Linked DNA regions of Macaca mulatta. The protein of the gene in region 1 interacts with the protein of each later gene in a pairwise test. Links are inferred from orthologs where the notes say so. Each region holds a gene or a part of one and is shown in the gene's direction. Other genes may lie near its edges.

Evidence for each region.
Region 2: the proteins of KHDRBS2 (region 1) and NCOA5 interact in a two-hybrid assay, tested with the Homo sapiens proteins (2 studies listed by BioGRID). The two-hybrid records come from large-scale screens. The link is inferred for Macaca mulatta from reciprocal best matches to the Homo sapiens genes KHDRBS2 and NCOA5.
Region 3: the proteins of KHDRBS2 (region 1) and CHTOP interact in binary tests that used the Homo sapiens proteins (3 or more experiments, as listed by UniProt). The two-hybrid records come from large-scale screens. The link is inferred for Macaca mulatta from reciprocal best matches to the Homo sapiens genes KHDRBS2 and CHTOP.
Region 4: the proteins of KHDRBS2 (region 1) and SDCBP interact in binary tests that used the Homo sapiens proteins (3 or more experiments, as listed by UniProt). The two-hybrid records come from large-scale screens. The link is inferred for Macaca mulatta from reciprocal best matches to the Homo sapiens genes KHDRBS2 and SDCBP.
Region 5: the proteins of KHDRBS2 (region 1) and RBM3 interact in binary tests that used the Homo sapiens proteins (3 or more experiments, as listed by UniProt). The link is inferred for Macaca mulatta from reciprocal best matches to the Homo sapiens genes KHDRBS2 and RBM3.
Region 6: the proteins of KHDRBS2 (region 1) and PRR3 interact in binary tests that used the Homo sapiens proteins (3 or more experiments, as listed by UniProt). The two-hybrid records come from large-scale screens. The link is inferred for Macaca mulatta from reciprocal best matches to the Homo sapiens genes KHDRBS2 and PRR3.
Region 7: the proteins of KHDRBS2 (region 1) and DOCK2 interact in binary tests that used the Homo sapiens proteins (3 or more experiments, as listed by UniProt). The two-hybrid records come from large-scale screens. The link is inferred for Macaca mulatta from reciprocal best matches to the Homo sapiens genes KHDRBS2 and DOCK2.

The regions. Positions count from the first base shown.
Region 1 is NC_133409.1:123,216,504-123,220,570, forward strand, and holds the start of KHDRBS2 (KH domain-containing, RNA-binding, signal transduction-associated protein 2), read left to right. Parts: upstream 1-1,267; 5' UTR 1,268-1,489; coding exon 1,490-1,580; intron 1,581-4,067. UniProt on the Homo sapiens protein: RNA-binding protein that plays a role in the regulation of alternative splicing and influences mRNA splice site selection and exon inclusion. Binds both poly(A) and poly(U) homopolymers. Phosphorylation by PTK6 inhibits its RNA-binding ability.
Region 2 is NC_133415.1:98,882,257-98,886,406, reverse strand, and holds the start of NCOA5 (nuclear receptor coactivator 5), read left to right. Parts: upstream 1-1,350; 5' UTR 1,351-1,887; coding exon 1,888-1,925; intron 1,926-4,150. UniProt on the Homo sapiens protein: Nuclear receptor coregulator that can have both coactivator and corepressor functions.
Region 3 is NC_133406.1:113,398,861-113,403,083, reverse strand, and holds the start of CHTOP (chromatin target of PRMT1 protein), read left to right. Parts: upstream 1-1,423; 5' UTR 1,424-1,639; intron 1,640-3,880; 5' UTR 3,881-3,897; coding exon 3,898-3,962; intron 3,963-4,223. UniProt on the Homo sapiens protein: Plays an important role in the ligand-dependent activation of estrogen receptor target genes. May play a role in the silencing of fetal globin genes.
Region 4 is NC_133413.1:69,251,366-69,254,865, forward strand, and holds part of SDCBP (syntenin-1), read left to right. Parts: intron 1-1,020; coding exon 1,021-1,099; intron 1,100-2,346; coding exon 2,347-2,456; intron 2,457-3,500. UniProt on the Homo sapiens protein: Multifunctional adapter protein involved in diverse array of functions including trafficking of transmembrane proteins, neuro and immunomodulation, exosome biogenesis, and tumorigenesis.
Region 5 is NC_133426.1:48,642,341-48,646,441, forward strand, and holds the start of RBM3 (RNA-binding protein 3), read left to right. Parts: upstream 1-1,301; 5' UTR 1,302-1,418; intron 1,419-2,345; 5' UTR 2,346-2,358; coding exon 2,359-2,461; intron 2,462-2,739; coding exon 2,740-2,846; intron 2,847-3,488; coding exon 3,489-3,594; intron 3,595-3,682; coding exon 3,683-3,779; intron 3,780-4,101. UniProt on the Homo sapiens protein: Cold-inducible mRNA binding protein that enhances global protein synthesis at both physiological and mild hypothermic temperatures. Reduces the relative abundance of microRNAs, when overexpressed.
Region 6 is NC_133409.1:152,487,934-152,492,165, reverse strand, and holds the start of PRR3 (proline-rich protein 3), read left to right. Parts: upstream 1-1,432; 5' UTR 1,433-1,482; coding exon 1,483-1,588; intron 1,589-2,313; coding exon of another isoform or gene 2,314-2,376; intron 2,377-4,232. Other genes in the region: GNL1 (guanine nucleotide-binding protein-like 1), read right to left, coding at 250-322.
Region 7 is NC_133411.1:178,525,750-178,529,970, forward strand, and holds the start of DOCK2 (dedicator of cytokinesis protein 2), read left to right. Parts: upstream 1-1,421; 5' UTR 1,422-1,482; coding exon 1,483-1,525; intron 1,526-4,221. UniProt on the Homo sapiens protein: Involved in cytoskeletal rearrangements required for lymphocyte migration in response of chemokines. Activates RAC1 and RAC2, but not CDC42, by functioning as a guanine nucleotide exchange factor (GEF), which exchanges bound GDP for free GTP.

The DNA.
Region 1 (4,067 bases):
TTTAAACATTATATAAATAAAAGATAATCTCCTAAATTTATCTAAAAATTAATTAAAGAGGAAAATATTTAAATTCAGTAAGAGAAGTTGGAAAAATTTCAGCATATTTTATTTGTAGAAAAGTTGGCCCTCATTCTTCTACATCAAAAGTAATGGCGAAAGAATCAGGAAATGACTGCTTATGAAAAGAGAACCCAAGACTTGGGGAAAGATTATTTCCTAGCGATTGAGGAATGCAAGTTACATTTATGGCCACATTGGTAAAAGAAGGATGGGGCTTTTTTTTGGTCACAGTTGGTGATATCATGAGGGTTTAACTTTCCTTTAAATAGAGGTGGGATAATACAAAGTAGCTCAGCAACAGTACCTGGTGAAAGAGACTGGCACATATCCAACGAGGAGAAAGGGGAGAATTAGAGCAAACGTGATTACCTATGTTCTAGTCTCTTCTTCTACATGTCTTCCCAATTCCTTCACAAACTGTGACTAATGAATCATATATATATATATATGTTTTTAAATTAAGCCCCTCCCAACCTGCCTTCCACAGATAGGGTCTGGGGAAAGGAGGGACAGATAGGTTACCATAACTAATTCAATATCCCAATGATTCTACACCAGAAGAATGTTTCTGCACAATATTTCTCCGAGCCGCTTTATTTGTTTATCAATGAACATCCTACTGCGTATCTGAGATGTAGGTCATCGGAAATACCAGCTGCCGATCACATGCAGTCTTCATTATATTTCCAGACCCAGTGCGCTGCTGATTCCTGCACAACTGTAGTGCGTCTGAGCTGTGTGAGGGAAAGGAGACACCTGTGCCTTAGGGACGCAGGTGAAGTCCCATCTACCTTCCTGAGACTTTCGCTGGCGCTTTTCCACCCTCTCAGCGGCTCACTTCTCATCTCCATCTCCCCTGTCCACTTGGACTCAGACCTCTCTGTTTAACCTGCGCTTTTCCCGCCCTCTCCTCTGCACCTTAGCTGAAGACACAGAGAGCTCCACAGAACTGGGCATGCCTAATAGCCAGGGAAGGCTTGGGCTGCAAGAAGAAAGCGTTTGCATCTTCCGAGCTCCCCTCCCCTCTGCAGCTGCCTCCTGCCAGTCAGGCGACCCGACGTGCACCACGGCCCAATGAGGGCCCGCGGCCTTCGCCAGCGCCCCGCCTCTCCTGGCATCACCACCAATGAGTGGTTGGCGGAGGTGGGCCGCGCCCTGTTCCCGCCTCTCCAGTTAAGGCCGCTGGTGTGAGCCCGGGCTCGGCGCGAGCGAGGGACGACGGAAGGGACGGGCAGGTGTGGACGCGGGGCCACGCAGCCCGACGGCGGGAGTCGCAGGTGCTGGGTGCATGGGCCAGTGAGGACGCACGGAGATCCCCTCGCCGCGCAGAGGAGGAGCAGCGCGGGAGCCAGGCGCTGCCCCACGACCCTGCGTCCGAGCGAGCGGAACCTCGCGCTTCGCCCGGGGACAGTCCGAAGTCCGCGCTATGGAAGAGGAGAAATATTTGCCTGAGCTGATGGCAGAGAAAGATAGCCTGGATCCATCTTTTGTGCATGCATCGCGCCTTTTGGCAGAAGGTAGGACTTGCCCCCACCGATGGGCACAAACCGCCGGCTGCCTATTTTACCCTTGGCTTGATTAGGGGAGTGAAGTTGGGGAGGGACTCCTGTCGCCGCCTTCGCAGAAACTGTCCCCCTGAAGATGCTCGTCTCAGAGCTCGGGCGGACAGACCCCGTTCTTGGGGCGGACAGCAGTGCTCCTTCTCCACGTCTTAATTTGGAGAAGACCAAAGCTACGGAGATCTAATGGCAGTGGCGATGTGACCTGTTAGGATCGTTGATAGAGAAACCGTAAAGTGTAACGCGGTCTACAGGGACATTTTCACTTCGCTGAGGGAGGGGAAAGCAGTTTGGAAGTCAATGGTGATCAATGTAGTGTTCTAAGAGCTTTTTGGCTACAGATCAGTATTTTTATTTTTATTTTTTACTGCATTTAGGAAGTGATGTTTGATGCCCTTTAATCAAAGTCTATCCTATGGAAAGTGTTAGAATTAACCTATGCATTAAACTGTGCATGTTCTTATATGTATGTTAATGTAGTAAGTAGAGGCTAAAGTGCTTATACATTTATTTGAAGTGTGATGATTGGGTACTCTGCGAGATACTGGTCCCTGGGAACGCTCTATAATTGATCAACTGTTTTACCAAGTGTGCATTTTCTTTTGTGTACCTGTAATGTTAAAGGAGATTTCGTTCCCAGAGGAACATATATGTCTTGTCTTTTGCATTGCTTTGAAAGGTTAAAAAAAAAAAAGACACACAAACTTTATTAACCAAATTACTCCGTTTATGTTATAATAATGCCATCTAAATACTCAAGACACCTATATCTGTAGTTATTTACACATGCCTTTTATAAAACAGCTGCAGATTTTTTTAGATGAATGCTTCATTAATAATGAATTGCTTCATCATCAAATTGGTTACAGTGCAGTTTTGTAGCTAAGGTTGTTACGGACTTACATACAGCAAAAAACTAAAAGGGATAACTTCCTCTACCCCAGCTCCTCAGTATTAAAAGATTTTTTTGAGACTTAGTTGTACCAAGGAAGAATAAATTCTGCTCCTCAATATATGATTTAAATCGGTGTTAGCTATATTTTTAATTGATGGATTGTTATTTATGTTAACAATAAAGTGTAAGGTTTTTTTTTATGTTTAAATGCTAAACAGTTAGAAAAAGATTTATAGTCAAAACATGGAACATGTGAAATAACTGAACTGTTTTCAGGGAAAAAGCTTGTTTTATAGATAAGTGGGAAGGTGAAATACAATTATGCCTACTACTTTGGTTACTGAATGAAAAAAATAGAAATTAAACTGGAAAAGTAAAGTCAATAAAAATGCACTTTTTTGCTTTCTCAAAAAAGACAACTACATAAAAATAATAGCAAAATAATGAGTTAATAGATGTTTAAGATTGTTTGAAATGATTTAAAAGGCAAGTCTTACCAGTCTTCAGTATCTTTAATATATTTTGAATAGTCTTCAATGTATTTTCCAGAAATTTCTTTATGTAGCTGATAATATGTCTTTAAAGTGAAAGAAAAAAACACTTACAAATTGATCGTTCTCTCTGACCCGCTAATTAGAGTTCTATTTGAGACAAGTGGCTCAAAGATTAATTCATCAGTCATTAATATGAGTTATTGTACTTGAAGGCGGTCAAGCTAAATAAATGCGTACAAGAAACTCTTAACAGAGTGCATAAGTATTTCTTTGTCTGGTAAAGCAGTCAGAGAAGGCTATGCACTTGGTTCCTTAACATTTTATCTTTCCTAGGAACTTGATTTCTTGATATAATACTTAGGAACATGTTCTGATGTTCCTTGTAATTTGATTTTTTCCCAGCAGGGGGAAGCATGCCCTGCTTTTGTAAAGAATTAGAAGGAAAAGCTCCTGAATAGAGGAAAGCATCTAAGTAAGAAACAAAGAGGGTACCTAAATTTCAGAGAAATCAGCATAAGGAAAAGAGAGTGGAGGAGGTTATAATAATCTTGGAGTACATAAAGAGTTATGCAAAAGGATGCATAAGTTTTAGATTACCTCAGTACTTGGGACTCTTTACATGTGCTTATTAAAGAGTGTAAGATGATTGTTCTTGGAATCTCAATGATCTTAATGTATATTTTATGGTATAGATCTTTCATTATCTTTCCAAAGGCCAGTTGCCAAGATGTCCACACTTAGTTGCAGATGTCTATAGAAGAGTATCATTGAGGTGATTTTATTTCTTATACTTGAGAATGCACTGATTGAAGGCAGTGGCTATAAATAAACCTGACATAGATATTCATTTGGAGAGAAGGTGCATACTGAAGTACATTTCAGTCAGTACTGTGCAGACAGTGTCAAGCCTGAATGAGTAATAAAAATGATACAGATGATTCAGTTCTTCAGAATGATTTTCCGGAAGCTAATATCTATAAAGGCAGTAATATAAACCAATGAGCTTTCACAATGATTTATTTTGCATTTTGATTGGTGATAGATGCAAATCAGTGC
Region 2 (4,150 bases), on another chromosome or scaffold:
GGCAAATTATTGGTAATAGAAACCTACCAATTAAAGTAATACTGTATGCGTTGTACTCTCACCTGAATGTTTGCCCAGTCTAGTCAGTGTTTAGATGTGAGTTTTCTTTATTCACAAGACCATTTAATAATATATGAACTCCTGCTGAAATTACGTTATATGTATTTTTTAATCTTAATACACACCCAGTGTATTCCAGAGACACCTTGAAAACTACTTAAAATACTCAAAGATATTATATTTCTCTCTGAATCATAGCCAACCTATATAATTAGAAAGTGGTACACAGTAAGGGAACAGACTCAGTAAGTCGTAAACCTGAACTAGTATTTTTCACAATTACGTATAATAGAGCTAGATATTCCCTATAAGGCCTGTCATTGTATAATTTGTAATTTAGACCATTATAAACTTTAAGACTTGTAAATTGTGAAAGTACTGCATGCAGTAGCAAAGCTATGGTCAGATATTACTGGCCAAGTCTTACATAGAAAATATTTTCAGTTTTTTTTTAAATAGATTATATCTTGTGTCTGCTTAATTGAAAAGGTAGGAATCAATTTAAGATATACTTCACTATTTAGCTTTATATTAGCTTCAGTTTTGTCAGAAGCCATTTTTCTAGACAAATTAGAGACTTCTGATTTAAAATGGAGTTGAAGATTACTCTCATTTGAACAGGAACTCAAAAGTTGGCAACATAGCATAAAATCTGTACCAGACCTCTAAGTTTCTTGTTATTGCTGTTGTCTTTCATGTGATAGGAATCTGGTTGGGGTTTTTTAAATACATAGTTATTATTTCGAATTATGTGAGTACTTAATACCATTTGATGTCATTAGATACACCATTGTTTAATATGGAAAAAGGGGAACAAACTATACAGCAGAAAGCAGTTTTATTTCTTCATTCATCTGAAGTATGAAATTTGTAATGTATTTACTTAGCTTTAAGTCATATGAAAATTGTCAGGTATTATTTTGGGGCATAGATTTCTTAATACATGGTGTTTATTATTCACTTCAATTTTTGTAAAGCAGGTATTTTTTGTTTTTAGTAAAGCAGGCTTTAACTCTACAAATTTGCTTTTCTTTAAGTTTGTGTGATTCTGCTTTTCTCCCATATCTAGTTCTATATGCCAGCCTTCTCTAATGAAAACAACTTATCAGTAGTGTTTTATTACCTAACTCTACTATACCATATGCCAGTCTGTATTCTTGGTTATCTGTCTGTGAAGGTTGTAGATATTAACAGGTCATATTCTTTGTTTATTAAAAATAGTAATAACAGTTTTCTTTCCTGCATGTTATTCCTGAAGATTCTATCCAATGGAATTCAACACAAGACACACTAACAGGAGGCCCTGCTTCATGGGATATTGGAAGTTTTAAGACACTGAAATCCAGCTATTACTTCTTAGTAACATAAAATAGAATTATTTACCTTTGCCCTTTTGTTTTTTAAGCTCTCCTTATCTTCCCCCCCCACTTTTCTTCCTCACAAAAAGAATCTTACAACTGCTTTCTAAGAGTTTAGAAAACAACCTTTTCCTCCCCTTGGAGGGAACGTGTCAGGTCTAGGGCTTGGCAGGGTATTAAAGCATTGACGTAATTAGTTTAAGACAAATTATGTGTTAACTAGAAAACGAAGGGACATTTCTTACCAAGCTGTGACAATGTACTACCTTAACTCAATAATAAAAATTGCCCAAGTGACAGTGTGTCTCTGCTGAATGGCTTTTCTTACACCATCTGGTTGTCATTGTAGTTTTTTGTTGTTGTTGCTTTCATTTGAAATGTGCTGATGATCTTGTTTTTATTCCGTAGCATTGAACAGATGGGTTGATTATTCTTTTCAGATATTAATAAGGCAGCGGAAGGAAGAAATATGAATACGGCTCCATCAAGACCCAGCCCCACACGAAGGTAAAGTACCCTGAAGCCGTGAGTTACCTTGGGAGAGTTGGGCTCTGGGGAGTTAAGCCCAGCTTCGTACACCAAAGGTCTTTTCTTCCCCCCAACAAGTGAAACGCTCAAGCAAACAATAAGAACATGAACCCTGTGTGAAGGGCCTTGCTGCTTTTTTTAAACATACATCAGGAGATACAGAGGAAGCTTTGTGTTTTCGGTGGCAAATCCAGCAAGTTCAGCTTGCAACATGAGTTGCAGGCAATTGGAAGAGGATAAACCTCTGTCTGTCCCCAGCTCACGTGTCAGTGGGAGCCTCCAGAGCAGAAGGAGTGCCCCAGAGTCATTGGTGTATGCCATGCTGCACTGCAGTGGGCAGCAGAGATTCGACTCTTCATTCCAAATGGCTGCCGGTCCAGATGTTAACCCAGGTTTACGGAAAGTGCTGCTTGAGAGATTACCGCTGTGCCTGTGCTGCAGATCCCCTGTTTGCTCACATACTTGGGTTACCTGTTTGAGGGGAAATAAAAAGGGCAAAACACTCCAGCTCTCGAAAGTCTCCCTTTTTCTTAGCTTTCACGGAAATCGAGGGTGTTTTCCCAATGTATTCTTCCTTCCAGTGTATACAAGAGAGATAATCCTGGTGCGTACCCTCAAGATACATATTAAATTGGTCCCTTCTCTCAAAGAAGAGCTTTATTAATGGTACCATTTACACCATAAATAAAGATATCCTATTCAGTTGTTCTGGCCCCATAACAGCACACAAATGGATGCAGTTTTGTGTAGAGGGCAGACAGATATGATATATTTCATACAAATGATATATTTCATATCTGATGTCTCTTCAGGGCCCAAATGGATTAATGGATTTTGCCTTGCCTCTAAGTAAAAAAGCCAATTTTCCCCAGAAACATACCTAAACTACGTACCACAGTAAACTGCATTTCCTACAGTGAACTGGACAGTGCTGCATACAGTGAATCCTCATCTGTACTAGTAGCTCCACTGGTCACCTTGTGAACTCAGCTAACTGAGCATTACGCATAACATAGAGCTGTCCTGCTTTTGGACAAAAACACCTGTATTTTGTTACCTACTTATAGGAAAGAATGTCCACTGTGTGTTTCATGTATATACTCCTACTTGGATGTGAAGTTCTAGCTACTGGGAATAGATTACGCATGCCCACTCTGCAGAGTTTAAGCAGACCCTAAGGGCAAAGTAATGCTGCTGGTTTCATTCAGTTGGAGTCTTTGTCCACTCTGCCTGTGCAGCAGAGTTGAGTCCAATACCATAGCTTCAGCTATACCACAGCTGTCGTGTGGATTCTCTGGCCATTCGTTGGTTTCTCTGCGGAAGTGGGCATGTAAATTGGTATTCTGTCTGTTCTCTCTAAGGAATGCCTGCAGCTTGCAGGTAAATACTCTGTTGGTTGATTTGTGTGTGTGTGTGAGTATCCTGAAGAACATAAACAAATCCTGCAGAACTTCAGCAGTTCCGTATAATGTCTACTTTCATTAGCCTTCATCTAACCGTGCCACAGATCTTGGGCAGTCCTATCTTATTGTCCCAGTACAGAATGGAATACAGGTGGATGAGAGTTGCATCTAATGGTCAGAAGTACAGGGTTCCCATTGGAAGCTTTAATTGTCAGGTGGCTTGAAAGGAGATATGGTGTGTATCCAGTTTCCAAAGAGCGCTACCGCTACCGTGTGTGTTTCCTGGTAACTTACCAGGAGTGTGGAATTTGTAACTTTAAAAGACACTGACTCCACTAGTAAAATCCTCCCCCTCTATGTTGTCTCCATGATACTTGGTGATCTTTGGTGATCTCTGGATAATGTCTGTGTGTTTCCACAGGCGTAAAAAACAGTAACAACAAACAAGCCACATTGCAGAACAGAGAGTAGATCCTGTTTCTGTTATGGATTGAGAAGGGTATTTTATATCATCCTGTTGATGATACTTAACCAAATGCTTTTAACATTTCCAGTTGGTTGTAGATGTTCAACAAACATTGCAGTGTTGGGGAATGACCAACTTCCCTGGTTGGAACCTAGTAATAGCCATTGCCAGAGCATTAAATTAAAAATATTAATTTCACCCCAATCTAGAAATAGTTTTATGCTTTTTTTTTCTTTTTTTAATAATAGTCCCTGCACAAATAAACATACAGACAACATTGGAGAGGGCCTTATAAAATGAGCTTCTAGCCAGGCACAGTGGCTCACACCTGTGAT
Region 3 (4,223 bases), on another chromosome or scaffold:
ACTCCGGAGGCTGAGGCAGGAGAATGGCGTAAACCCGGGAGGCGGAGCTTGCAGTGAGCTGAGATCCGGCCACTGCACTCCAGCCTGGGCGACAGCGCGAGACTCCGTCTCAAAAAAAAAAGAAAGAAAAAAAAAAAAAAAGAAAAATCCCTTATTGAGGCCGGGCATGGTGGCTCACGACTGTAGTCCCAGCACTTTGGGACACAGAGGTGGGCAGATCACTCGAGGTCAGGAGTTAGCGACCAGCCTGGTGAAATCCCATCTCTACTAAAAATACAAAAATTAGCAGGGCGTGGTGGCACGCGCCTGTAATTCCAGCTACTCAGGAGGCTGAGGCAGGAGAATCGCTTGAACCTGGGAGGCGGAGGTTGCAGTGAGCCGAGATGGTACCACTACACTCCAGCCTGGGTGATAGAGCGAGACTCCATCTGCAAAAAGAAAAAAAAGAAAGAAAGAAAGAAAGAAAAATCCCTTAATTGAGCAGGACACATAGCTCATGCCTATAATCCTAGGACTCGGGAGGCTGAGGTGAGAGGATCACCTGAGCCCAGGAGGTCAAGGCTGCAGTGATCCGTGATTGATTGCGCCACTGACTCCAGCTTGGACAACAGAGCCAGACCCCGTCTCAAAACAACAACAACAACAAATCAAAAAGCGAGAAAAGAGAAATCCCTATGTAGGTCTGCCACAAAATAAACACGGATGGCAGGTGTGGAGGGAGGACATGGAAGCGCAATCGAGGACGCAAAGGTGCACCCCCCGCAAGAAGGATTAAACAGTATTTAGGCCAAGTTGGGAAGGGGAGGAAGTGAAGAGGAAAACATGGACGGGCGGTGGTGTTGGCCAGCGCAGGATGGGAGAGGAATGTGCTCCCAATACTGGCCTCCTGGGCCTTGGCGGGAGCATTTACGGCACTTTACAACTCTCAGACTGGGCGACTGGCCATGAGGGGAAAACCAGTGCAAATTCCCCAGGCCCAGTTGTCCGGAAGAAGACGAGGCAAGTCCGCGTAAAGATTTTTAGACGATGCACCTTGCCTAAGGAACAGAGGGGCAAGGGAATTCGGAACCCAAATCCCCTCTAAGACCCTGATTACTAACTAGTAACCCAGGAGGTTGCAGCTTAACCACTACGGGAACTTGAAGTCCCGGCACGCCCCGATAGGGCCATTGTCACGCCCCCAGGGGGCGGGGCACTGCTTATACCGCTAAGGTAAAGTTTGCTGAAGTTCACCCTAAGGCTCCGCCTCTGATCCCTGCGCAGGCGTAGCTCAAATCTTTCACGCCCTCTAGTCGTGAGCGGATCTGACGCCTGACGTAATGGCGTAGACGCCATTTTAGCCGGTCCCACAAGCACTGCATGTGGCGGCCATTTTGTTTTGGACACCGAGCCGGAGCTGGCGGCCGCTGCAGACGAAAGGCAAGAAAGGGCAGGCCGGGTGAGCAGACGGATCGGCCGGCTAGACAGCCAACCAGCAACAACGAACTGAGCTCGCATACTACCGCTTACGCATCTGACCAACCGCCCATCTAGCTAACCCGAGCCCCTCCACCGTCAACTCAGGTTCGGCCGGTCCCCGGCCCGCCTGCCGGAGCCGTGGTGGCAGCCCCGGGAGGAGCACTGGCGTCTGTTTCCTTCGGTGAGTTTCTGTAGGGAGAAGGAGCGGGGTGGCGGGGTCTTGGGGAGCGGAAGGGGCTGGCGGACGCGGAAAGGGGGTGGTGGCATGTGGACACAGCTACGGTGTTGGAGCGTGGAGGCCCGGGGGAGGAGGCGGAGCCCCTGCGAAGGGGCGGGGGAGGGGCTGAACTGGAACCTGGTGGCGGGACTGATGGAGGTTGGGGTTTGATAGGGATTAAAAGGAAACTTGGGTTGAGCAAAAGTGGAAGTCTTGATAGGGCTTTGAGGATGGTAGGGAGATTAAGAAATACAAGACTTTGAGGAATGTTGGAAATTAATGGCGGCTTTAGGGTTAAGTTTTGTGGAGGGCTCTTTGCGAGCTCATTCCCCAGGTGAATTTAGAAAACCTTTCCTACGCACTCCCCGAGATCATTAGTTTATTGTTACAAAAGTCTCTACTTGATTCTGGAGTTGAAAGCCAATTTTTAAACTAGGCTTTTTTTTTTTTTTTTTTTTTTTTTTGAGACGGAGTGTCGCTCTTTTTGCCCAGGCTGGAGTGCAGTGGCACGATCTCAGCTCACCACAGCTTCCGCCTCCCGAGTTCAAGCGATTCTCCTGCCTCAGACTCCCGAGTAGCTGGGATTACAGCCATGCGCCACTACGCCCAGCTAATTTTGTATATTTAGTAAAGACGGGGTTTCTCCATGATGGTCAGGCTGGTCTCGAACTCCCAACCTCAGGTGATCCGCCCGTCTCGGCCTCCCAGAGTGCTGGGAAAACAGGCGTGAGCCACCGCGCCCGGCCCTGCCTATATTTTCACTCTAGATCAGTAGTTTTCAACTTTAACTGCACGCTAGAAGCACCTAGGTAGCTTTCCCTCCACCCCACAATTGTTCATTTCCAAACCTCGTTACTAGAGATTGTGGTTTAATTGATCTAGGCCCAGATACCTGTATTTTTTATTTTTTTAATTAATTTATATTTTTATGGAAACGGGGTCTTGCCATGTCGCCCAGGCTGGTCTTGAGCTCTAGGGCTCAAGCATTCCGCCCACCTTGGCCTCCCAAGGTGCTGAGATTACAGGCGTGAGCCACCGCGCCCTTTGAAAGCTCCTTGGATAAGTCATATGTAGTCAAGGTTGAAAATGACTGCTCTAGAGAAAAAGCCAAACTCGACCGGGCGCGGTGGCTCACGCCTGTAATCCCAGCACTTTGGGAGGCCCAGGTGGGTGGATCGGGTGAGGTCAGGAGCTCAAGACCACCCTAGCCTACGTGGAGAAACCCCGTCTCTACTAAAAATACAAAAACAATTCGCCTGGCGTGGTGGCACATGCCTGTAGTCCCAGCTACTCAGGAGGCTGAAGCAGGAGAATCGGTTGCACCAGGAGGCAGAGGTTGCAGTGAACCGAGATCGCACCACTGCACTCCAGCTTGGGCGAGAGAGTGAGATTCCGTCTCAAAAAAAAAAAAAAAAAAAAAAAAAGGCCAGACTCCATACTTTGATTGCTAAATTGGGTTCTGCCGTTTTTGAGAATTTCCTGGGTATTTTCTGGGCCTTGGAGTTTGTTTGGGGTTGGTTGGTTGTTTTAAAGAGATGGGGTCTCTCTCAGGCTGGAGTGCAGTGGCGTCATCACAGCTCTTTGCAGCCTCCAACCCCTGGGCTGTAGCACTTCTCCCACATCAGCTCCCCCTGAGTAGCTAGGACCACAGGTGCTGGCCACCATGCACTGCTATTTATTTATTTATTTATTTTCTTAGTAGAGACTCGGTCTCACTTTGTTACCCAAGCTGATCTCTAACTCCTGGCTTCAAACCATCCTGTGCCCTCACCCTCCCAAAGTGTTAGGATTACAGGTGGTGAACCACCACGCCCAGCCACCTTGAAGTTACAGTAATGTGAGGTAACTGCCATAGAAATTTAAGCACTTTTGCACTTTTGCTGGGCATGACACCTCATGTCTGTGATCCCAGCACTGGGAGGCCAAGGTGGGAACATCCTTTGAGGCCAGGAGATTACAGCTGCCGTGAGCCACTGCAGCCAAGATCATGCCACTGCATTCCAGCCTGAGTGACAGAGTAAGACCCTCTCTCAAAAAAAAAAAAAAAAAAGAAAAAGAAATTTAAGCACTTGAAATGTGCCCTCATGTGCTCTTAAGTCATCAGTGATAAGGCCTTTTTATTTATTGTTGACTTGGGCCTTGCCACTTATAGAAATGATGTGGTCACTATTGTGATTTGCTCATTTTACGTATTGTCCTTTGTAGATTCTCGGGATTTGAAGATGGCTGCACAGTCAGCGCCGAAAGTTGTGCTAAAAAGCACCACCAAGATGTCTCTAAATGAGCGGTGAGGCAGCCAACAGCAACTTCAGCTCCTTCCTAAGAAAACATTACTTAACTTGGCCCTGGGGTCCAGTGCACAAAGCCAGTTTTAAGCTAAATACCAACAGAAGGCTACAGACCTCTGTTCTTAGTTGCATCTCATGTGGTACACAAAACAAATTGGGCGGTTGTTTCAAAACCCCTTATCAGTAGACTTTTATGTTAAGCTGTCTGAAATATTTATTTGGTGGGATGTATTTTAAAAGACTCCTAACACCCTCCCTTT
Region 4 (3,500 bases), on another chromosome or scaffold:
CAACAAGTATATCAGAACATATGACTTTAGTACCATTCAAAGCTTTTGTAGGCTTTACTTATTTAACCTAAGCTTTCATATCTCCAAAGCATCTTTGGGACTACTCTTGACATTGATTTTAGGGCTAGGTTGAGATACTACTATGAACTTCATTTTTAAAATTACACGTTTCCAATAAAGTAAAAAGTTGGTAGAGATTGGTCATACAACTTATTACCAAACTTGTCTCTAATGACATATAGCTATTTCAGAAAGTAGATCTAATGGTAAAGGATAAAGTATTTCCATCAGTGAAAATACTTCATATGATATAGGCCATCGAGGCAGCCCTGAGAAGTGGATACTTGGTCATGAATAGCACTGATAAATGCTAGAGTGTCAGAGTGTGTCAGAATGATTTTGGCAAGTTTAACAGTTACAAATTATATTACCTTGTCATCATCCATTTATGTCAGTGATAAACTGTGCTATTTTCATAATTTCTGATATTCTAAAAGTGTTTAGCATAAATCCCTTGCTATACTTGCTGTGATGAAGATGATTTCAGTGGGACATGCTAAAATGGTAAATATTAGCAACTTAGTATTTATTTTTTAGGTGTTTTTCTGATATGTGACTTTTTATATGAATATGGGTATGCTTTTTTCTTATGCAAATATTTTATTTTACTTGGACTAATTAGTAAAAGAATAATGAAATGTAAAATTTATCCATTTTAGAATGCACTTTGAAAATATTTATTGTGGCAGCACTATGAAATACTGGTTATAAGACATGTAGAATAGTACTTCTACAATTTTTTTGTGATAGCCTTAAAAGTATTTAGAATATCAAATACAATTTTGATTTGCAGATTTCCTTTGAAAAAATGTATTGCTGACATGTTTGAAATTAAACTTTCTTACATAAATCTTCATTGTTTTAGTTTCTTTTTGGAAGTACTGGATTTAGCTTATAAATTATATAAGTATATAAAGTAAGTATAGTGTATTGTTACAATTTTCTTCTTTTCTTTTTCAGGCTCAAACTGCTTTTTCTGCAAACCCTGCCAATCCAGCAATTTTGTCAGAAGCTTCTGCTCCTATCTCTCAAGATCGAAGTAGGTTTATACTTTGAGTTCATTCTCTGTGAACAGAAATATTGTTATCTTCTTTTGCTCAAATAAGGAATCCAAGATTTTTTTTTCTTGACAGGCTGCATAAAATTGGTAGTTAAGCTCAAATAGTTATGAATAAGAAAAAAAAGTTTACTTCAAAAAATAACCCTTTTTCTAATTAAGATAGTGAACTGTGGATATGGGGATGTATTTCATGGCTTAATGAAAATTGATTTTAGACTGACTTGTAAATCCCTAACATGTGGCTGATTCATTTATGAATGAATTATATATATGAATTCACATGTAAGAACTTTTTGAATTCACATTTAAGAACTATCATCATGCTGCTGCTGTTGAACTTTCTGAATTGTCTTCTGTCTTTCCTATGGGAGCTTCTGAAATTTCCAACCACCTCCTCTTTGGGAAGCCTCTTAAATATTGAGGCCTTTATTCATTCTCTGTATCCTGTCTTTAGTCCCTTTTTCTTCAAGGTTCAGAGGGATTCAGGACAGAGCTTCTAAATACTATGACTTAAGATACAAAATAAGTGTTAAATAAATTTTGTGGCCTGTCATTTTGTCTTACAACAGTTTATAACCTTGCCTCATAGAAAATTCATTTTAAGTCACAGATAATTTAAGTCTCATGTAGAAAAGAGCTTTTGGAAATAGTATATAACTACTACCAGGTGAAATAATGTTAATATTTAAAAATACCATTTGCAGGATTTCATTGGAATGTAGTTAAAATTACTAAAATTGATAAGACACTAAATAAATTTACAAGCTTTCAAAAAAAGATTGTTCAGAAGAATCATTCCATAGCCCTGTTTACAGAATGAGTTATAAAGTAGCTGACTTGACAAATAGATATTTTGGTCAGTTGTTCTGAATTGGTAAGTGGTATTCTTACTAAATTCCTAATCAAGTAGGTTTATTTTAAGAAACAGGAAAGGCAAGATAGTTTATTTGGAAAAGTTATTTCTACTTTTGAGTGTTTAGGAATCTGGTTGTTTCAGTTCAGATGTCTTCATATTTTATGAATTTTAAACATTTTCTGTATTTTCCATTTCTAATGGTTACAGAGATGGGGAGATGCCTTTCCAAATTGCTACTTTAAATTCATTCTAGATTTTATAACTTAAGTATAATTTCGTTAATACACAGAAGCCCATAATAAAAGAAGTTTTCATTTTGTGTATTCTGTAAGTACTTTTTAATTTATTCATTCATTCATTTACTTATTAGATCTCTATCCCAAACTATATCCGGAGCTGTCTCAATACATGGGGCTGAGTTTAAATGAAGAAGAAATACGTGCAAATGTGGCCGTGGTTTCTGGTGCACCACTTCAGGGGGTATGTACAGTGTAATTAATTTTGAATTATATAAAACCATACTTTACATATTAATATAAGCTTTCCTGTTTGTGGCTAACTCAAAAATATACAACAGCATTGAACCTCACTTCGCAGAAATTTTAGACTTCCTTTTGGATATCGTTTCTTACATAGTCTACTTCATTTTGTGCTACACGTTTTGAGTTTATTAGGATTTAGATTCAGATACCTTTTACTAGTTCATTCTCCTTTGTCTTCTGCATTTAGTCATTTACTAAGTCCTGTTGATTCTGTTTCTGTTTCTTGTATTCATTTTGTCTGTTTTTTATCCATTCTAGTCCTACTATAACCATATTCAGGGTTTCTATACTTCTAGCCTTCATTATTATAGTACTCTCTTAAATTTCCTCTAGTAACTTATTTCGATGGTACTAAGCTGTTGCTAAGTTAATCATTCTGAAATACACATATAGGTCTATCGTATCTTTGTTGCTCATAATCTTTTTTTTTGTTGTTGTTGTTGTTGTTGAGACAGAGTCTCACTCTGTCACCCAGGCTGGAGTGCAATGGTGTGATCTCAGCTCACTGCAACCTCTGCCTCTTGGGTTCAAGTGATTCTCCTGCCTTAGCCTCCCAAGTAGCTGGGACTACAAGTGCGTGCCACCATGCCCGGCTAATTATTTGTATTTTCAGTAGAGACCGGGTTTCACCATGTTGACCACACTGGTCTCAAACACCTGACTTCAGGTGATCCACCTGCCTCGACCTCCCAGAGTGCTGGGATTACAGGCATGAGCCACTGCGCCAAGCCTTTGCTCTTTAGTCTTTTAACATTCTTTTTGAAATCCAAAGCTCCATGTAATTAGACTCCATATTCTAGCTTAATTATAATGGATCTGATAACCTTTTATTAAGGTTATTGCTATGACCATAGCACTTTGTACCACTTATTATAATTGTAGTTAAATCTGTGTCTGTCTTGTTGCCATATCCCAATGCATATACAGTACCTAGCATGTATGTATTTACCAAATATTTATAGAAAACTTGTGTTAGTGGTGA
Region 5 (4,101 bases), on another chromosome or scaffold:
CATGATCTCAGCTCACTGCAACCTCTGCCTCCCGGGTTCAAGTGATTATCCTGCCTCAGCCTCCCGAGTAGCTGGGACAAGTGCCTACCACCACGCCCGGCTAATAATTATTATTATTATTATTTGTATTAGTAGAGACAGGGTTTCACCATATTGGCCAGGGTGGTCTCAAACTCCTGACCTTGTGATCTGCCTGCCTCGGCCTCCCAAAGTGCTGGGATTACAGGCGTGCACCACCACGCCCGGCAAGGGCTCAGTTACTTTCGAAGAGAGCAAAAATTGCTCTAAGGACTGGGATTTACAACCTCTGAAGATCGCAGCATCCTGTTTTGTTTTGTTTTGACTGAGGCTGGAGTGCAATGGTGTGGTCTTGGCTCTCTGCAACCTCCACCTCCCGGGTTCCAGCGATTTTCCCGCCTCAGCCTCCCGAGTAGGTGGGACTACAGGCGCGTGCCACCACACCCGGCTGTTTTTTTGTTGTTGTTGTTTTTTGGGGTTTTTTTTTTTTGTATTTTTAGTAGAGACGGGGTTTCACCATGTTGGCCAGGCTGGTCTCGAACTCCTGACCTCGTGATCCGCTCGTTTCAGCCTCCCAAAGTGCTGGGATTACAGGCGTGAGCCACCGCACCCGGCCAGCATCCTGTTTTGTAAAAGCCATCTCAGGCAGTCTATTGGTGGGAAAATTAAGGGGCTGGCTTCACGGGGGCAGTCAGACAAGGGTGAGGGCTGAAGTCAGAGATGAGAAGGAATGACGCCAGGGAAAAACGTCGCATGACAGGCGGCTAGATGTTGAGCACAGAGGAGAAAGAGTAGGAGTCAGTGTCAAACCTTAAAACGTACGGTCTGACATCACGGACTGTGAAGGGTGATGACATCAGTGACGTGGGGGATAAAATGTCGGGCCTTTAAAGGGTACGAGGTTAAAGAACTAGAAGGTGAAGGAGGTTGACATCAGAGAATGGCAGGGACCTAGAGGAAGACGATTGCGATGGTGAGGAAGACATCAGATCCAGCGGGGGAAACGATGGCAAGGACGGGAGGATGATGTCAGGGACGGCAAGTAGTATGAGAGTGAGAAGGTTCCTGTGTGGGAGAGATCAAGGCAGCTCAGCCGGTTGTGGGGGGGATGCTGACGTTTAGGGTGCACCATCTGTGCAAAAGTCGACCCCATTTCCGGAAACACCCCATTTCGCAGAGAATACTGCTCCCTTCACTTTGCTGTCCCTTCCTCTCCCCCGCCACTCCGCCCCTGCTAGCCTCAGCCAATCAGCATGCACGCCGGGACGCGCAAGGGGAACGTTCCGGGACGTTCTTGCTACGTACTCTTTATCAATCGTCTTCCCGCGCAGACCAGTCCTTGTTTTCTGTGCTCCTCCAAGCTCGCCGTCTGTCCGGGTTTTTTACGTTTTAATTTCCAGGTAAGTTGCGTATGGCCTGCGGAACGGCGGCTCCTCGCCACACACGCGCCGCGCCGGCCGAGACCGGGGGATAGTGAGTGGGGAGAGTAATGGCCGCTGACACGTAGGCTTGGCTTTCTCTGGGGCGGGCGGGTCCCGTGCTGGGAGGTGAACATTTCGGTTAGTGGGAGGCCAGCGCGCTGTATCTGAGTGTGAGGCCCCTCGGGAGGGACTGGGTGGCGTCGGTGGTGGCAGTGACCACGCGACAGCCGACACTTGCTTTCCTTATCCCACGTGGCCGCCGCCATCTTGTTCTGCCGGCGTTGAGGGAACGCAGGGATGTTCTGGGCTTGCGCAGTGACACAAAATGACGGGCGTGGCGGCTGTGGATGTGTGAGCATGCGCAATAGTGGCCCCCTAATGGTGGCTGCGCTGAGCCAGCTCCGCAGATTACTACCTTATTGGCCTTCTTTCCCAGTTTCTCTGTAGTTACCCATGTTTTGTTCCTCTTTTTTTTTTTTTTTTTTTTTTTTGAGACGGAGTCTCGCTCCGTCACCCATGCTGGAGTGCAGTGGCGCGATCTCGGCTCACTGCAAGCTCTCTCGGCTCACTGCAAGCTGTGCCTCCTGGGTTCACGCCATTTTCCTGCCTCAGCCTCCCGAGTAGCTGGGGTACAGGCGCCCGCCACCACACCCGGCTAATTTTTTTGTATTTTTAGTAGAGACGGGCTGTCACCGTGTTAGCCAGGATGGTCTCAGTCTCCTGACCTTGTGATCCGCCCGCCTCGGCCTCCCAAAGTGCTGGGATTACAGGCGTGACCCACCGCGCCCAGCCATTTTGTTCCTCTTTTTTATTTTCTGTACTTCTCTCCGCCTTCTGTCTCGCTATTTTCTCACGTCTCCATTTTGTTCCTCCTTCCTGCCACCATTCTTCATGTTCTTCCCACAGGACTTGAACTGCCATGTCCTCTGAAGAAGGAAAGCTTTTCGTGGGAGGTCTCAACTTTAACACCGACGAGCAAGCGCTGGAAGACCACTTCAGCAGTTTCGGACCTATCTCTGAGGGTGAGACGGGCCAGACTCTCAATGGGGGTTGGTGAGAGAAAATCTGGGATCCTTGTATTTCAAGGAGTATTAACCGAAAAGTTAGGACCCACGCTTCCATGTTCTTTTTCTTCTTAAGCCTATGGTGTCCACTAAGGATGAGGGGAACCGTCTTCGGGATTGGTGGGAGGGCTCCGTTTTCCCTACCTACCGCCATCTCCTTTTCGGACCACCCTTTGCTACTTAACCTTTGTGGTGCTGACTGGTCCACATCGCTCCTTCTTCTCTCCCTCTCATAGTGGTCGTTGTCAAGGACCGGGAGACTCAGCGGTCCAGGGGTTTTGGTTTCATCACCTTCACCAACCCAGAGCATGCTTCAGTTGCCATGAGAGCCATGAACGGAGAGGTGGGGCCTCCTATCTGCAGAGGGACCTTGTCCCCATCTGCGGCTTCCTTCATTCTTTTTGTTTTTCCTTCTGTGTCTGCTCGGGGCAGCGTGGCCACCAAGCCCCGCAGTGCCCACTCACAGGAGCATGACTGCCTTTTGTTCTAGGGGGTGGAGGGCAGCGGCAGACAGAGCCTGGCCGCCTGGGAGGCGACGACTGGTCCTGCATGAGGCCGAGAAGCCACCTGTGGATGGTTGACCTGCCTTGGGCTTAGGTAGTAGAGTCTGCAGACCTGTGGGCCTGGCCCGGAGAGGACCTCGTGAGTCTTCTGACATGGACTCTGAAGCCTCAAACCAAGAGAGGTGTCTGTCTAGCCCTGATAGTCGGGCAGCTTAGAGGAGTGGGGAGGAGAACTCAGCCTGAGTTCAGTCAAGATGTAAGTAGTAGCAAGGGGAACATGGTGCATTCAGGTCATTTTGTGTGGGATTCTATAGCTCCTGATGAAACCATTCTGGGGTAAAGGAGCTTATTCTGGAACATGGCACCCAGAACCTGGTGCCCAGCAGGAATTTTTGGCCTCTTTTGCCCACTTGCCCTTGCCTGCTCTTCCCTCACCACTGCCCTGACTGCCAACCTATCCTCCTTGTGTCTCCCACACTTAGTCCCTGGATGGTCGTCAGATCCGTGTGGATCATGCAGGCAAGTCTGCTCGGGGAACCAGAGGAGGTGGCTTTGGGGCCCATGGGCGTGGTCGCAGCTACTCTAGAGGTGAGTGCAGTGATAGTTTTGATCATGGGGTGAGAGGGAGAGTTGCCTAGGTGAGGACAACTGCCATTTAAATATTTTTCTGTTCTAGGTGGTGGGGACCAGGGCTATGGGAGTGGCAGGTATTATGACAGTAGACCTGGAGGGTATGGATATGGATATGGACGTTCCAGAGACTATAATGGCAGGTGGGTAGCCTCGGGGCTGGGATGTTCTGCTATTGATTCCCTCTCCTTAAGAACTCAGCGCCTGGGTTTTCATGCATACCACATCTTGCTGTTACTAATGTGTGCCTAAAACGAGTATGAAATTCAGCATTTTGAGTTAATTGTGTGGTCATATGGTTGTAACATGGTAAAGTATACACATGTTGTGCTGCGTGGGTTATATAACTATATTGCTTTAACGTGTATTATGATTTAAATACTGCATATTATGATTTAAATACTGCATATACATTGTATGCCATAAAACTGTTTACTATGATACTCATGCTTAACATATCGTGTT
Region 6 (4,232 bases), about 29 Mb from region 1:
TCCTCCAGGGAGCAGTAGGGACGGCGCCCCGTGCGAGCTGGAGGGATTCCCCTCCCCCAACTCTCCATCCTTCCCCACCCCTTCCAGATGTGGGGGGGTGGGGTGGGAGATCCCCTCCGCGATAGGCCGCGAGGGTTGGCGCGGTCCCACGACACCCTCCCACGACCCCCAGAGGTGCAGCGGGCACACCCCTCCTTCCAGCTGTGCGGAAGCCCGAGCCCCGCCTCCTCCTCCAGCTCCCGCACTGACCTCTCTTCCGCTCCCGTTTGTCCTGCAACTGCTTCTTCTTCTGCTTCACGCTAAAGGGCTTCTTCCTCGGCATGGCCCGGACCAGTCACCTGGCCCGCCCTCCGCCGAGCTCCTGCCGCCTCAACTGACTGCCCCCCGGGGCAGTCCCCGCCGCAGGGGCCCGGGACCCTAGAGGAGGCGGAGCTAGCAGGTGACGTCAGCGGGCGGGCCCGACCGAATTGCCGCCGCGGCGGCGATGGAAGGCGGACAGGGGAGATACACAGTCACTTCCCTCCAGGAGCGAGGCGAAAGGATGATGCGGGGTGGGCTACTGGCACGTGAGAGCCAGTAGCACCGAGAGAGCACCCCGGCGGCGAGGAAGGAGGCGCGCGTGGGAGGACCAGGCTAACTTCGTCACGGACGCTACCAACTCGCGTTCGGAGGAGGGGGGAGCGCGTGTCATCACTACCTTGCGCTCCCGGGAGAAGCTACCACTCACCTGGAGGGGGCGGCGGAGCGGAGGGCGGGGCCTATTACCTAGGGGAGAGGAGGAGTGGACACGCTGAGGCTACACTCCCAACCCCCAGGCTTGACCTTAGTGGAAAGCCGAGACGGTGCGTCCCGGGAATGAAGCCAGGTTGCTGGGCTACACCGGGGGCACGGTCAGAGGTCTTTAGGGGAGGGCGGCGGTCTGAAGAGTCCTGGCTGCCGACCTGCTGGGACCCAAATTCCTTGTGGGAACGATGATAAGGAGCAGGTTTACAGATCAGAAGTGCAAAAGCGGGCGAGAAGCGAAACCCAGGCGGGACAAGGGCTTTTGGAGGGAGGTCAAAGGGCACAAAGTTGTGCCTGCAGCTGTTACCATAGTAACCGAGGACCGGATGTGGCGATCTTACGGTGCGACAGTCCTCTTCTCAGGCCTTCTGGCCCGAGAGCCTGTTGACTCTGTGACACACTCTGAGGAGCTGGTTGTGGTGTTTTCCAGCGAGGGAAGAAGAGCGGAATTTTTTCAAAGCATTTATAGAAACGCAGCAAAAGGAAGGTGTGAGGTTGCCGCCATGCCTGGCAGAGACGGAGAGAGGCAGTTTACTCCAGAATGCGGCCGCCACAGATGTTCTCCGCAACCTTCCGGAAGTGGAATGGTGGGAGCTTGGGCATTGCTGCCCACCGACCCCCCGGAAGCGGAAACAGAATCCCCGCGTGCCCCTTCCTCACTACCCTCCAAATCCCGCTGCAGCCATTGCCGCAGCCACGATGCCGAAACGAAAGAAGCAGAATCAGCACCAGCCACCGACACAGCAGCAACCCCCACTGCCCGAGCGGGAAGAGACTGGAGATGAGGAGGATGGGAGTCCCATCGGTGAGGGGTCAGGGAGGGATGTGCACATGCCTGTCAAGCCCGTCCGGGCGAAGGGCTAGGGGCTAATAAGGTGCGAAGGAAGGGGCTCTAACGGAAGGAGGAAGGGCGCACGCGCTGGGTAGGGATGGCAGCAGGGCTGTCCCAAATGGAGCCTTGAACCAGGAGTTCTCTTACTGGAACCGTCAACCTCAATACGGCCCCAAACCTTTCTGGAACGCGGGGGTGGAGAGAGTAAAGAGCTCTTTTGCGCAGCCGCAGAACAGTAGGGGAAAGGGGCAGTAGAGATGTTGCAGATTGCGATGACTGGGTTGACAGTTTGTATCCGGATTTTGATTGAAAAGGTACAGGTGCCGCTTTCTCTAAACTAGTCCTCTGGCCGAGTGAAAGGAGAAGAGAACTGACTGGCCAGCAGTTAAGGTGAGGGATTGGTTTATGTCTGGAGACACTTAGGTTGTTTTGGATAGCGACGGTACGGTGAGGAAAAGAAAAAGTTGTATCTTTTCCTGCATTATCGCCTTTGATTGAATATCTACTTTTTGCAAACCCTGAAACAGCTTTGCAGAAAAAAGAGCAGATAGATGGGGTGAGAACTCCTAAGACTGCTGAAAATATACCTGACTTTACTGGTTGAATTAAGAAATGAGTAATACAAGAAAAACGCCTAAGAACAGAATCATCAGTCCTTTAATCCATTCTGATGACCATATTTTCATGTCTGCTCTTAGGACCACCCAGCCTTCTGGGCCCTCCCCCCATGGCCAATGGAAAACCTGGCGACCCTAAGTCAGGTGAGGAGGAAGGGGCCCTGATCCTTGTATTAGGTCGCGGATAAGACGGCAAGGGAGGGGATAAAACCCAGGAAGGACTTAAAAATCAAAAGGTCAGGGATTCCATCCCTAAATGAATGGAGAGAAGTTGTATATTTGCTGACTGAAAAACTCAATGTTGTAAAAATGTCACTTCTTCCCAAATTGATGTATAGACTTCATGCATTCCAAGTCAGAACACCCATAATGTTTTTGTGGAAATACACAGTATTATAGGGAAATGCAAAATATCAAGGTGAGAGACTGTCAAAACAATCTTGAAGTGGGAGGGCGTACTATGAATATCAAGATTTGTAAGCTGGGCATGGTGGCATATGCCTGTGGTCCCAGCTACTCAGGAGGCTGAGGTAGGAGGATCCTTTGAGCCCAGGAGTTTTTGAGGCCACTTGGGCAACATAGTGAGATCCTGTCTATAAAAACAAGAAGGAAAAAAGACTTACTATAAAGCTACAGTAGTTACAACGATGCGGTTTGGACACAATGATACACATAAGTCAACAGGACTTATGTCCCGAAGAGTCCAATAACAGGCCCATACATGTGTGGACACTTCATTTATGATGAAGATGGAACTGGAAAGTTGGTCTTTTCAATAAATGATATTGGATCAATTGGATATTCATGTTAAAAAATGGAATTTCACCTTGTAGTCATAATCATATTGTATAATGGACTGTAGATCTAAGTATAAAAGGTAAGAGAATAATTATTCTAGAAAGTAAATGTATTTTCTAAGAGTAGCTAAGAGTTCTTAAACAGATAAGAAATGTAGGTATACACACTAACCATAAAGGAAAGATTGATAAATTGAACTCCATTAGAAAATATAAATTTGCGGCCAGGTGCAGTGGCTCACACCTGTAATCCCAGCACTTTGGGAGGCTGAGGCGGGCGAATCACAAGGTCAGGAGTTCAAGACTGGACTGACCAACATAGTGAAACCCCTATCTCTACTAAAAAATACAAAAATTAGCCGGATGTGGTGGTGTGCGCCTGTAATCCCAGCTACTCAGGAGGCTGAGGCAGGAGAATCGCTTGAACCTGGAGGCGGACGTTGCAGTTAGCCGAGATCGCACCACTGCACTCTAGCCTGGGTGACAGAGTGAGACTGTCTCAAAAAAAAAAAAAAAAGAAAGAAAAGAAAATATAAACTTGCCAAATAACGCCATTAAGAAATTAACAGGAAGCTATACAATAGAAGATATTTGCAACAAATATAACCAATAAAGATCCTTTATCTATAATATATAAAGGATTCTTCCAGACAAGCCATTTGAAAAATCGACCAAAAAAAAAAAAAAAAGGACACCTTATTAAAATGGAGCTCTAAATGAACTAAAAGTCTAAATCAACAAGTACTCAATATCATTAATCGTCAAGTAAATGCAAGATAAAAATATACCACTTTGAAATTAGAACTCTTGTGTACTGCTGCTGGGATTATAAAATGGTGAAACTACTATATAAAACAATATGAAGAGATTCCTCTTAAGCAATTAAAAATATGTATGTATGACAAAAAAAATTAAAAATAGAACTACCCCAGAACTCCTGCTTCCAGGTATATAGCAAAAAAAAAAAAAAAAATGGAAAGCAGGGTCTTGACATATTTGCAGACTCATGTTCATAGCAGCAGTATTCACAATAACAAAGAGGTGGAAGCAACCCACATGTCCACTGATGGAAGAATAAACAAAATGTGGCGTGTACATACAATGGATTATTATTCAGCCTTAAAAGGAAGAAAATGCTGTCACATACTACAACATGGATGAACTTTGAGGACTTTATGTTCAGTAAAGACATAGTGTATGATT
Region 7 (4,221 bases), on another chromosome or scaffold:
AATCTCTCTCTCTCATATATATATAACATACACACACACACATATATATGTATATGTATAATATATATATGTATGTATGCATTTATATATGTATGTATATATATGTATGTGTATATATAATCTCCTATTCTGGTCATCTGGGGGAACCCTAATGCCACTGCTGTCTGTACAAGACATTATTACCTAACTTACGCTGCTAGAAAACAGAAAATAACTGCAGGTAAAACGAAATAATTTTTTGTCACTCCAGTTCAGCTGTGATACTGCCTATGTATCTTAATGACTCTCAGTGTAAGGCAGAAAGGGGTAATGAGAGTCATGAATAAAGAAAGAAAACTCAGCAAAACTTAAATTCAGCCTTATCACTGTGGATCAGACATGATTTTTTTTCTGGACAGAATCTGTTCCCAGAGCAAAAAATGAGATTTTTCGAGGAAATGTCTCCATTAGCCTAACTCTAGGGCTCTTTTCCTGGGGCCCACCGTTGCTGGCTGTGACAGCACCCTTCACCTTGCAGTGATGTTGGTAAATAGTGTATTTACGTATTTTCAGAATAAAACTTCTAGAGCTTACACCAGATTTTCCAACGGGTTTGTGGCACCAAAACGATAAAAAGCTGTAAATGGGTCAGGCGCGGTGGCTCATGCCTGTAATCCCAGCACTTTGGGAGTCTGAGGCTGGCAGATCACCTGAGGTCGGGAGTTCGAGACCAGCCTGACCAACATGGAGAAACCCCATTTCTACTGAAAATGCAAAGTTAGCCGGGCGTGGTGGTGCAACCCTGTAATCCCAGCTACTCGGGAGGCTGAGGAGTCACTCGAACTCGGGAGGCGGAGGTCGCGGTGAGCCGGGATCGTGTTTGCACTCCAGACTGGGCAGCAAGAGAGAAACTCCATCTCAAAAAAAAAAAAAAAAAAAAAAAAGGCGGCTGTAAACGATCCACCTCCATGTCACCTGCTGTGTACATTGCCTCTGTAACCCTTAGAATAATCATATGAAGTAGGTACTAGTATCCCATTTCACAGATGAGAAAACTGAAGCTTAGAAAAATGAATTCATTTGTCCCCGTCTGGATTCGAACCCAGATCTGACACCAAAGCTCACGCTGAGGGGACTTAAGGAAATGGTTTGTTCAGTCCCCTAGGCACGGCAATCAGAAAACTCTCTGCACTTGCGGTGGCGGTCTGGGGAGCCCCAGGTGGGGACTGGCCTCTGCCCCCCTCGCCTGGGGAGGAGACAAGGTGGGAGTGGTCCCCAAGCTTTGCGTGAAGTGGGGTGGGGTGGCGTATCCCAGCCTACGGGGCACCAGCCTTCTAGTGTGCCCCTGCCCAACGGGAGGGAGGAGGGAGCGGGGAGCCCCGGGGAGGGAGGAGAGGGCGGGCCCTGAGAGGAGTTTGAAAAGAGGAAGGAAGTGGGGCCCTGCGGCGCCCAGCTACCCCCTGCCGGCTTCCCCACGGGAGGAGGCGAGGCCCCGGCTCAGTCATGGCCCCCTGGCGTAAAGCTGACAAGGAGCGGCACGGCGTGGGTAGGTGCGGGCTCCAGGGCGCGGCAGGGAGCGGGACAGGTGGCGGGAGAGGCGCGAGCAGGAGGATGCTGCGGGGCTGACCGCGCGGGGTGGGCAGGGCGCGCCGCCTGCAGGTCAGAGGGCGTAGCCTGCCGCGGGGCCCCGGGGCGGAAAAGCCGAGGCTCGGGGAGAGGACGGCGGGACCCCACCCCGCGCGCTAAGCACAGCCCTCGCCCTCTCGCCTGCCGAGGGAACCTGAGGCATTTCCGAGATAGGGTCAAGACTTGAGCTTGACGACTCAGCTCTTCTCGCCAGACTCATCGTCCCCAGGAGTGCCCCAACTCGCCGCATGGGAGACTTGGCCTTATAGAGGGAGCTCCACTCTCCTCAGGCTCAGCCTTGGCCTGCCCACCATGCATACTTCCACCCCCTCCAAAGCGACACCCATCTGCCTGCTTCCCCTGTCTGTTCCTTCTGGGTCAGGTGACTCCCGATTTGGCAGGGCATCCAGAGGGCAGCTCAAGCTTGGGGGATGGGGCTGGACGGTGGGGTTCTCTACTCAGCCCCTAAGAGCCTCTGGGGAAAAAGGCTCCCGTCAGGTGGTCTGAGGGTAACCCAGAAGCTAGCTTTGTCAGCCTCAGCCATCTAAACTCCCAGAGGCCTCTGCCTGGAGCTCAGGGGCGGAAGTGGTGGCTGGGGGAAGGGAGGCCTCAGGTGCTACTACTCTCTCTGAGTGGCATCTGTGGTGCAATCTTCATGGACTCACTGTGGTTTTCAAACTTCAATATCAATTAAAAAGTCACTCTGGAGCTTCCTACACAGGCAGATACCAGACACCATCTCAGAAACAAAGATTTAGCAGGTGAGGCATTGGAAGACCCAAGCGCCCAGAGGGATTCGATGCAGGGGGTCCCCAGGCCGCTGTTCGGGAAACACTGCCCTGGAGAGATCAGTAGTTATCCACTCAATTACTGGGCACCGGGCATGGGGTGGGGGGCATTTTGATATGAATGGTTCCCATCCAGAGAACACATAATAATTCTTATCCTCAACGGGCAGTTACAAAGTAAGGAAGGATACAGCTTCTGCCCTTGAGGAGTTATGTGGAAGGCTAGAGGCTTAGACTGGGAAGTCAGAACTGAGTTGAAATCAGGGTCTGTTTCCTCATCTATAAAGTGGGAATGTTAATAATAATGCAGGTTTCATGAGACTCTTGTAAGGATTGAATGGGGTTATGCATGGAAAGCATTTAGTAGTGTGCTGGCTCAATGAGAATTAGAGATTGAGGTCAAGGGGCTTACCTAGCAGCTTCAGAACCAAGAGACACCAGCACCAAGATGCACCCTAATGCCAGATTCAGGACAGTCATGCCTTATGAGACTGTAGTGTTTCATGGTTTGCAAGACCAAATGTCATGCAGTCTGTGTCTGACTTCAGAACCCGCATGTGAGGCAGTGTATTATTCCCACTTTACAGATGCAGTAACCAAGTTAACATCACTTGGAAGCAATGAAGCTGGGCCTTAAATTCAATTGTCTTCAGACCCTAGGTCATGGCACCAGAAAAGCATCTAGAAGGGAAACATCATGGGTAAAGGCAGGGAGCTGGCATCCCTGCAGTGTGTGGGTCAAACAATAAATATTCTGCTTTGGTTTTAGTATTGCTTTTAGTGTTAAAAAAATTGCAGAGGTAGATTATGGCTAGATTGTGAAGGGCTCTGAGTGCCAAGCTTCGAAGTTTGGATTTCCTTCTGTGAGCACTGGAGGTTTTGAGCAGTGTCATCTGGAAGAAGTTAAATAGTTAATTAGGACAGGAGTGGGGATTGGACTTAGAATAGAAGGAAAATGGGTAACAGTTTTACCTGTCTACTTTCTGCCTGGTTAATCTAGCAGGAGGTCACTTATAATCAACATTTCCTGTTAACTTTTACTAGGTTAATCCACTCTGCCTGAGGCTCTTGTCAGTGAAGAGAGCTTTCTCCTTTCAGGAGAGAGGAAAGGGTAGAAAAGGAGGAGGTAGAAAGAGAAACTAACAGTATCAGTTAGGGTTAAGTGTGACTAAGGGTGACAGTAAACTTGCAAAATTGTGGCCTAACTAAACTGCAAGTTTATTTATGTCTTGCATAGAAAGCTCAGAAATGGTCTGTGAAGAGGTGGTAAGGTGGCTCATTCTGTATCTCACACTGTATCTATCCTTGGCATGTGACTTCTGCCTTCTGAGCCACACAAGCTGCTTAAGCTTCGGTTATCAGGTCCACCTTCCAGCCAGCAAAAAGGATGCAGGAAAAAGAAGGTCATGACTTTTCCGTTTAAAGACATTTACCTGAAGGCACACTTGACATTTCTTCTTACCTCCTATTGGCTAAAATGTAATCACATGACTGACTATAGCTGCAAGGGAAGCTAGAAAATGTAGTCTGTAATGTAGGCAGCCATGTACCCAGCTAAAAATTAGGAGTTCTCTTCATAACTAAGGAGAGGAGGAAGAATATTGAGGATGATGTATTAGTTTGCTAGGACTGCCATAGCAAAATACCACAGACTGGGTGGTTTAAACAACAGAAATGTATTTTCTCACAGTTCTCGAGGCTGGAAGTCCAAGATCAAAGTACCAGCAGTGTTGGCTTGTCTTGTGGCCTGTCTCCATGGTTTGCAGATGGCTGTCTTGCTGCCTCTTCATTGCTTTCTGTGCAGGCACACCCTTGCTGCTTCTTCCTC